2 linked regions of the Arabidopsis thaliana genome follow. The protein of the gene in region 2 interacts with the protein of the main gene of each other region in a pairwise test. Each region holds a gene or a part of one and is shown on either strand. Other genes may lie near its edges.

Region 1 (5,500 bases), on a different chromosome or scaffold from region 2:
TAGGTTTTCGGTGACGTAAGCAAAGGTACAGACCACATCAGCTTTGAATATAGACCGTTGATCTCGGTTTCTCGATTAGAAAAAAATCGACGGTTAAGCTGCAATAAAAACGTGTGTTTTATATAACTTCGAATCATCTGACGTGGCCATCAATATTTTGTAGTGGAAAAAAAAAGTGGGGTCGATAAGTCAGAAAAGGAGATTAATCATCCAACGGCTCAAACGTGTCCCGACAAAATGACGTGTCCGTCTGGTAAGCGGATAGTCTTACTTACGCATTTATGTGGGCCCCATGTGACGAGGACTCAATTCCTCTATCCTCATTTCCTAAATTATCCTTGTCACTTCATTCTATTTCCTCGATGTACCATTGCTATAGCCGCATTGTTTGAACTTTGAATATAAAAGCCTAATGTTCACACTATAGGCAATTTAGCTTCATCATTACGCATCGTAGTAGGCCTTGAGCCCATATTTTAAGACTAACCTCAAAAGCTAGGCCCAAATTCTATCTTGGACTATTTATAAAGACCCATATAGAAAAGTAAAAAAATCCAATCAAAGAATTTACAGAATGAGGTACTCTTTAAGCCATACTTTTGCTCCTTAGGCAATTATTGTACAAAGGACACTCGTGGTTAGAGCTGCTACATAACGAGATTATACAACTTAAATGTGACGACATAGAGAGAGAGAGAGAAGAAAACAGTCAGTGCAGGTCTGAGGAACGTTTAATGGTGAGCTCGGCTCTGAGATGGAGAATGCCATTGATGAAATGTTGACTGTCCTCGGCTATGAACGAAGTCCATGGAATCCCGAAAAGGTTTCTGTAACCAACCGCTTTCCCCCCTGTGAATGTGTAGTTTCCTTTGTATTTGCTTACGTATTCTTCCTTTGTACTTTTATCTCTTGCCGCAAATTCGTAGTCCACACCAAAACTCACAGCCCCTTTCTCTTGCATTCCGAGGAATAGCCCAAAGCAGTGGAACGAGCTTTGCTGGTCCATGTTGCAGTGTGCTGAGAGGAAGAAACCTTGACCTCCTAAGTGGAAAGCCTGAGAATAGACTCTTCCTGAAGGGAATAGTCCTGCGCATTCCTCTCGCTTCAAGTCCAGGTACACTACACATTGCGGGCGAGGAAGCTCAAACTCCACCACTTTTACGGGTCTGTATTTGTAAGCCCTCTCTATGAAACGGCGGTTCATGGAGTCCGATCCTTCAGCTGCGAGGATGCGTTGCCTGTGTGGGGCTTCTGCTTTGAAGAAGAGCGCTTCTAATACTTGCTTTGATGCTACTTCATGCTCAAAATCACTGCACGTTAGTACCTTTTTCAGCTTTCGACACGTCATGTATGGGAAGCGGATGTAGAGTGCAAGGCGTGAACCCAGAATCTCTCTACGATCTTCCAATGAACTATACTGTCCCCTTGCCCATTTCAAGACAAAATCATAAACAGCATCCTCAGAAGCAATTTGGAGATCATCGCTCGATAGTATCGCCTCTATTCCAGCCAATGGTAAGGCCATAACCTCATCATGAAACCTGTACAAGATGGTAACACATGAACAAGAATTATACAACACTAGAGTAAATGCATTTCAAACCACTGGAGAGTCTTACTTGGTAATATCCTTGTAGCGCGAGGCAAGGAACTGCTTTGCTGCATCGGTTAGAGGTTGCACTGCTTCAGCCATTAAAACACTAGAGGGCAGCTCAAGATAGAGCAAAGCAGAATCAGGGGTCATGGGCATATTTCGCAGTAGTCTACTACAATACCTCATACAGGAAGCAACCTCAAACTTGTCAGCAGCCATAAGAACATCTAATAAAGCGGGTGCTGTTGTGACACTTAGAGAGTTGCTATACATAAAGTTTAAAAGCTCCATCAAAGCACCTTCCTCTACAATACACATAAAAGTAGAGCATGAGAAATCAACAATGTGGACTCCCTTAAAGCTAATATCGTATATCATATGTAAATCAAAGTCAGCAACTGAGTTAATACAAGAGGCATAAAGAATCCAAAACAAGAAGAAGCCAACAGAGAGCTAGTAGAGAATTGAAGCCAATATAAAGAGATTGGAGAATAGCAGAAATGAATTAAAAGCTTGACTTAAATTGTCGTACCTTGTGCACTAATTCTAAGGGTTACATGTCTTTGTTCTGATTCCCTCATTCCATTAGAAAACAGCTACAACAGGGTAAGGAAAACAAGAAGCAAAAGATAGCATTACATGCGAGATGAACAAGAGCAAACAATAAGAACATAGAAGAAGAAAAAAGGTTAATACCTTGTAGAAAAAGGGGCTTTTTGCGGCCAAGATAGGAGAACTAATATGCAGTTCTTTAACTCTAACAACAGTAGAACAATCAATACCCCAGTTTGGCTCACTAGATGCATCATCATCACCTACAAAAACCATTAATAAACAAAGCCATCACGTTTCAGACAAATGACTTCAACAAAAAACGCTCTTCTGAAAATTGTTAAGTATCACAAATTCAAACCCAGTCACTCGAGAGACAATGTGAAATTTAGAACGGTACCTGATAAAGCCTCTTCAACCATTGCCTCTCCTTCATCGTCAAGATTATCACCACCAGGAGCATCATCCATATCAGGTTGGTTGTTATCGGTTAAAATCTGTTCTTCAGCACATGCCACAATGTCTGAAATCGCAACTGGAAATGCAAAACGTATAAGTTTCTTAAACATTTAAACCCAAAAGCCCTAAACCAACCATAAGAACAATTCATAAAAACAACAACAAAATCTGAGATTCCAACCGATAGGGAATCAAACGTACCACCATTGTCCTTCTTGTTGTCCTCTCTTCTCCTCTTGCGATGACGAGCCCAATCGGCAATACTCGTACATCCTTCAGCATCAGACCTAGAATCCGAAGGCCCACCCAAGATCTCGATCCGGAGCAAACGATCGGAGAAGTTACTGTCATTGAAAGCGAAACCAAAATCACCTTCGGAGGAAGAACCATGGCGAGAGAAATTGGAATCCATCTCCGTCTTAGGGTCAAATAGATCGGTGTTATTGGAACCTCTCATCCTCCTTTTCGAAAACCCTCTTCTCCGTGTCTTCTCTCCGGCGAGAACCGAGCAGAAGAATCAGGATAACAATAAGGGTCAAATTCGAAAAGGTTTTTTTGAGGAACGAAAATGACAAAGAAACACTAAAAAAGTCTTTCTCTGTTTTTTTTTTCTGAAACAAAGAGCGGGTCGACGTTGAACGGTTATGGTAACAGGGCGGTGACGGATAAAGGCTAATTAAAGACAAAGAGGTTCGTTAATGCCAGCCTAACTAATTGTTTAACCGGTTTGGTCTTTTGATTGTAATAAGCACTTTGGTTCTTTTTCCGGTATTTTGCATAAATCGCGTAGGTACGATTTTGATTTTGACTTATCGGATTCGATTTTTAGTATTTGGGGGAAATTTAGCATTTACTTAATTAGAGGAGGAAAAAGGTAATAGGCAAAATTAGGAGTGTATTTAGTTGGAAAGCGTCAAATTTGGTAAGAAGACAACTCGTTCAACAAACGGCAATGCCTTTTATGTCGTTAAATATTCGTTGGAATCAAAGTCTAATTTGGAGTTTTCTTTTAATAAAATACAATTACTTCAACGTTTTACAGACTTTGTTAATTAGATTTTGACCGAGTGAAACTTGGCTATGCAATGATAACTTGACAAAAAAAAAAGGACTAATTTATAAATTGAAATCCGGCCGGTATACATTTCTTCGTAGGCCAACACATGACAAACCAGTTGACTATGTTGTGTACTACTAGGGATCATTTGAGATGATACGACTTAACGTATCGACTACAAGCAACCCAGCTGCTATTATTTCTTGAAACCATCGATGGTATATTTTCTCAAACCAAAACAATTATAGTGTACTTGTTTCGATCTGATCGAAGTTAAACCTAACTTTATTATTGTTCTTGTTTTAACTAAAAACGTATCCAAGACCAGTTTTGATGAATATATTTTTTTCTTTTTTTAGGTGAAATGTCCCCTTCGTATTTACGACAAACACACGACTAATGTTAAAATTAAAACAAGGAACAAGAAATATTTATACATTTGTCAGTTTTAATCTGTATTTCCATTAATATCATATTTTCAAATTGGCACACGAACGTCTTCTCGTAAATAAACAACATTAATATTGCTTCCATGCAAGCATCAACCACAAACACCTGCAAATAAACATGACAACCTGAAAAAAAAAATGCACTAGAGAAAAAGAAAACAAGTTAGATCGAAACCAAGTTTTGAAGAACAGAGACTAATTAAGAGAAGAAGAAAAGGAGCTCCCTTCAATCCAAACGAAGAGAAGAGAATGATATGTAGAGAAAGAGGGAGAATCTAAGAGGTCGTGCAATCCCCTTAAAGTGTGCTTTCTTCAAGCTTTTAACACCGCGCACTCTCTATGAGGAAGACATGAACTCTTAGATTCTGCATTTTAGTTCCTCAAATCTTGTCCTCTTCGTTTTGGAGGAAGGGAGCTCCTTCTGTTACACTTGAAGAACGAATGTCCCCCAAAAAGAGTTTGATATCTTTTTACAATAAAACGAACCAAAAATAAACTATGGAAAGAGGGAGAATCTAATATGTATGGTGATGGATTGTTGAGGCTTATGATGATGATGTGAAAGAACATGTTGTGTTAAGTCGTTTTATAGATGAAAGAGCATCAACCCTAGTCTACTCCTTGGGACGATTATGGAACAAGTGTAAATAAAAAATTGAAAAATATAGAAGAATAAATGGCAGTAAATCTTATTATTATTATTTATTTATTTATTTTGGCAGTAAATCTTATTGTCATTAATTAGAGATTAAACATAATCTTGTTGACTAGATTCTCTTTTAGAGAGAGATACGGTTAGGGTGCAACACTATGGTTTATGGAGTATTTGCAATTCCATTGCATTAAGACTAAAAAGAGAATTAGTTAGATTTCAAATGTCCAAACAATAACTAAACCGTACTTTTTGTATATTGAAGAGAATCTAGGCATTCGTAAGACCATCATTATTGATAGTTTTTTAGGTTAGTTTTTAGATAAAGTAGATCTTAAATTTAATGTTATAATTCAATTAATGGTTAAGAATAGCTCTTATATAAGAGCCAAATCTAATGTTTTTTAAGTTAATTCTTAGATAAATTAGGTCTTAAATATAATATTTTAATTTAATTAATCTTAATTTTTAGATAACTTAAGTATTAAATAGAATTGTTTGTCATATTTGTTTAAAATTTTATGTCATGTATGTTTTAAATTTTATGAGTTGTAATAACTATTAAGTTTTTTAAAATTATAATGTTTCTATTTTTTTTTTCAAATTTTCTTTTTAAGAACTCCAAGTTAAGATTCCACCATTGCATATTGCCTAAATTTCAATCTCTTAACCAAGTTTTTAACTTCAGAATTTTCAAAATCAATTATAAAAATATTCATAAAAACTATATTAAAATT
Region 2 (4,119 bases):
CCTCGTCGATGCTAACTTTCTCAAACTCACAATCTTGTTTCAAAGTGCGCATCAAGATGTTCCTCCTCCCAACCAAATAAACCTCTCTACATTCCCATCCATACCCTCCTGCTTTCATCTTTTCCGCTATTTTCCTCAGCACCACAACCACATCCTCAGGGTAACCAGGGTATTCAATCTCCTGATCACCGCATTCCGGAACGAGCATCTGGTCGTGGTCTTGTGAGACCACCACATCGTTCTGGTGGTCTTGCTGATCGGCAGTGCTCCTCCTCTGGCTGTTGCTGTCATCGGTGACAACCACAGACTCTTTGGTCACAGATTCTTCTAAAATGATGCGGAATTCGTCTTCCAAGAAAGCCATTGCACGCTGCTGAATAGATCCCGCATGGTTGATCAAGGACTCATGATGGTCCAAACAGGACTTGGTGTTGAGCAATAGCCCCATAAGCTTTGAGACACGATCCACTGCCTCCAAAAGCGAAGACACCTCTTCAGGATCTTGGTACCACACAGTCTTAGGCTCACCAGAGTCATATTTGGAGAGTTTTTCCTCAAAAAGATCCAAGAATTTCCCAACAAACTGTGGGATCTGAAAGTAACCATCCTCTCCTTTCTCCTCGGTGCTATCTTTGTGCTCCTCCATGTGAAGGGAAAGAGTCGGGAGAAACTGATCGAGTTCTTCAGACAAAGACTCCAAGGTTTGACGAATCTCTGGTGCTTCTTCTCCTTGTGAAACCTTGTCGACATTGTTATCTCCTGGATCTTGATGATCTGTCTCCGCATTACCAACAACATCTACATTTTCGTTACTGATACCATCCTGATGATGCGCATCATCTGAGGGATGAGCATCCGAAACGACGTCGCCTTTCTCATCTCCCTTGGATTTGTCATCATGATCAGGGTCCTTGTCGTTCTTCTCCATGGTTTCTTATTATTTACGTAAAAAGCTTTAAAAATGGCGAAGTGGAATTGAGATGCAGAGGAAGGAGAGATTCATGTGTTCTGTTTTCGTTTAGACTTTTAGGATTTGTGGTTAGAGAGGCGATTGAGAGAGATGGTCGCAATGGCTGAATCGAAGAAGTAGGGGAGCCTTGTTTTTTTGGTGGTTGACCGTTGACTTTTTCTTTCATCCAATCCAACACCAGTAAAATCTATTTTTAACCAACACAAATTAAAACCTCGTAATTATTTAACTCTTTTTAATTTGTTTGTTTACAAAATGTATACATTACACGACGAAGTGAAATATAAACAATAATTTGAATAAAAAAAGCGGGTAACGTGGGAGTATGGTGCGCACGCATATTCCTCACATAACTCTATACGTGCATGCATAAACCATCCTTCATTTCTTCATGTTTTGTTTTCAAGCAATCATATATCTTAGCTATTTTTAATGAAAACTAGTCATCCAAGAGTCATCTAAAATATTAAAATGGACATGGTAATGAGAAATAGTAGCTGGTTTTGTGGAGGAAGGCCAATAAAAAGCCCACATAAAAGTTGGGCCCAATAATCTTCAATTTTATAGTTTCCAAATTCAAGTCTGCCTTTATTTTACTACTAGTAAAGTCAGTAGGAGGAACAACTAGGCAGTGTTGTGTCTCCTCTCTTCACATGCACGAATAAATGCAATAAAGCCGTTTATAGAAAGATAAGGCTATATAGTAATTGGTTTAGGCAGACGTGGGCTGGCTCGCAATTGTCAAAGGAGTTCCAACTTTTTACTGTGTTTGATAAATTAATGGTAACCAATTGGATGAAGAAGATCAAAATATTGAGAGAAAACAGAGAATGATGAAACGGTAATAATAAGTGAAAGGATCCAGAAGAGGGACCCTTTTGCAAATGGAGAAACCCCAAACTTGCACGTTTCTCTCTTCCTCTCATCTCTCTTTCTTTTTCTTAAGGAATAATATGACATTTTCTTCTCTATATTGTTTTTTTTTTACTTAATAAGTCAATGGACATCCCTCAAAAGCACCTTCCTTTTTTTTCCTATTCTTTCTCATCATCTTTCTTATTATGAACTAAAATAAATGTTCAGACAAAGGAGCCATTTCTACCATTTATAATTTTATATTACACAACTATATGTGTGTTTGTGTGTGTGTGTAGCCGTGGGGATTTATATATACATATAACATATATTGACAACCTCTACTACTGTCATTTAGCCTGCAAAGCCCACAAACAAAGGGCTACACAAGTCTTCCTTCTCTCTCTCCCTCTTCCTCTCTTTAGATGGAATAATGGATCAATGCTTGTAAAGGTTTGAAATTTGATCAAGTTTTGAAGAAGCAAATTGAAAAAGAAAAGAAAAGAGAAGACATGGAGGTGGAGAAGAGGATTGTAGTGAATGGAGGAATGAAATTGCCAATAGGATACAGATTTCACCCAACCGAGCAAGAGCTTATCCTTCATTACTTGCTCCCAAAGGCCTTTGCTTCTCCTTTGCCTTCCTCCATCATCCCTGTCTTTGACCTCTTCTTCTCTCATCCTCTTAGTTTCCCAGGTCTCTTTCTCTCTCTCTCTCTCTCTCTATGTTCCTTCTGTCAAAGCCTCTATGTGTGTATATGTCTCCTCGTTTTCCTCAACTGTTTTTTGTTCAAAATGGTCTATCTTATGTTTGGGTCTAGATCCGGGGTGTCTGATGCTAAAACTGAAGAAGTTTTGCTTTCAGGGGACCAAAAGGAGAAGCAGAGGTACTTCTTTTGCAAGAAGAGAGAAGTGTCAAGTAATGAGCATAGAATCAAGATTTCCTCTGGTGATGGTTATTGGAAACCTATTGGTAAAGAGAGACCAATCATTGCCTGTGGTAAAACATTTGGGATTAGAAGAACACTTGCTTTCTATGAAACAAACAAGTCTTCTTCTTATTGCAACAAAACTAGATGGAGCATGACAGAGTATTGTCTTGCGGGATTTGCGTCGGCTAAGGTACACAATAACTACTCTAGACTACTGTAAGAAAGACATTGGAACTTGTGATAATAATGGGTTAAACAGGTGTCTGGAGAATGGGCAGTGTACAATGTTTATGAGAGGAAAGGCTCAAAAGGAAGAAAACAGAGGAAATCAAGAGAGGGAGATGATGAAGAATTGAGATGCATCGACCATTTTACGGTTGGGTCAAATCATGAAACCGGTCCACCACCGCCTTCTCCTCCTACCTCAGCTGATGAGTAATATATATATCTCATAGGAGACGTTGAGATTGTGACAAGCTCCTAAACCCTAACCTACTATTCCACTTACGTTTCTGTCAAGCTATTTAAAAAATTTCAACGTCTTGATTTATTTGTTAGCGAAGTAAGTAAAGTAACATGGTTCTAGGGGAGCTCATTTTGATCTGAAACTGTTGAATTGTATGAGTTGAGATTTGCACTTTTGTTGGGCAAAACCAAATATATGTCAAACTTGTTGATTATTTTTACTTGAAGGTATTTTAAATTAACATTATCATGCAAGTAAAGTGATATATAGCTGAGGAATACGAAGTAAAGTTGAATTGAAAGGAGGTATCTATCTTTCTCATGGATGAGAACTTGATTCCTTTTCTTTTCATACCACATAAGAATCCATAGCATCTATGTATTTTTAAGAAACAATTGTATAGACTGTTATATTATATCAATAAGTATGGAAATTAATTTATTAATATGAGATGGAGATGCATTTTGTATTAAGGTATAGCAAGTTGAAAAAGTTATATAAATTGGTGTGTTATTTATGTATATATATGTGGATGGATGAGTTATATATACAAACAAATTGGTGTGTTGGAAATAACAAAGAGACAGAAGCAAGAGTTGAAATTGAAATTGAAATGAGTGGAAAAAATGAAAGAAGCCATCGCATGGGGTGTCGAGAAGCTAAAGTTCTTCGTGTCGAACCATATTTTTTAATCAAAACATACAGATACATTTATTGTCATTGACACGTATTTTAAATTTAAACTCTATCAGAAGCCAACATATTTTCTTAAATATGATATGTGTTTGACAAACCAAATGATAACATGCGTGTGAGTTGTAGAAAGAATCATCGTAGATATAATTGATACGAATACATTTGTTTGAGTGAAATTCATGAATTAGTAGAGTTATACAT

Evidence for each region. The genes of interacting proteins can lie anywhere in the genome.
Region 1: the proteins of NAC084 (region 2) and LRB1 interact in a two-hybrid assay, tested with the Arabidopsis thaliana proteins (one large-scale study listed by BioGRID).

The regions. Positions count from the first base shown.
Region 1 is NC_003071.7:18,993,673-18,999,172, reverse strand, and holds LRB1 (BTB/POZ/Kelch-associated protein), read right to left. Parts: upstream 3,529-5,500; 5' UTR 3,063-3,528; coding exon 2,807-3,062; intron 2,682-2,806; coding exon 2,547-2,681; intron 2,410-2,546; coding exon 2,291-2,409; intron 2,191-2,290; coding exon 2,127-2,190; intron 1,900-2,126; coding exon 1,620-1,899; intron 1,542-1,619; coding exon 710-1,541; 3' UTR 501-709; downstream 1-500. UniProt on the Arabidopsis thaliana protein: May act as a substrate-specific adapter of an E3 ubiquitin-protein ligase complex (CUL3-RBX1-BTB) which mediates the ubiquitination and subsequent proteasomal degradation of target proteins.
Region 2 is NC_003076.8:4,515,840-4,519,958, forward strand, and holds NAC084 (NAC domain containing protein 84), read left to right. Parts: upstream 1-1,959; 5' UTR 1,960-2,337; coding exon 2,338-2,946; coding exon of another isoform or gene 2,947-2,976; exon of another isoform or gene 2,977-3,015; coding exon 3,016-3,195; 3' UTR 3,196-3,584; downstream 3,585-4,119. Other genes in the region: EXO70C2 (exocyst subunit exo70 family protein C2), read right to left, coding at 1-928.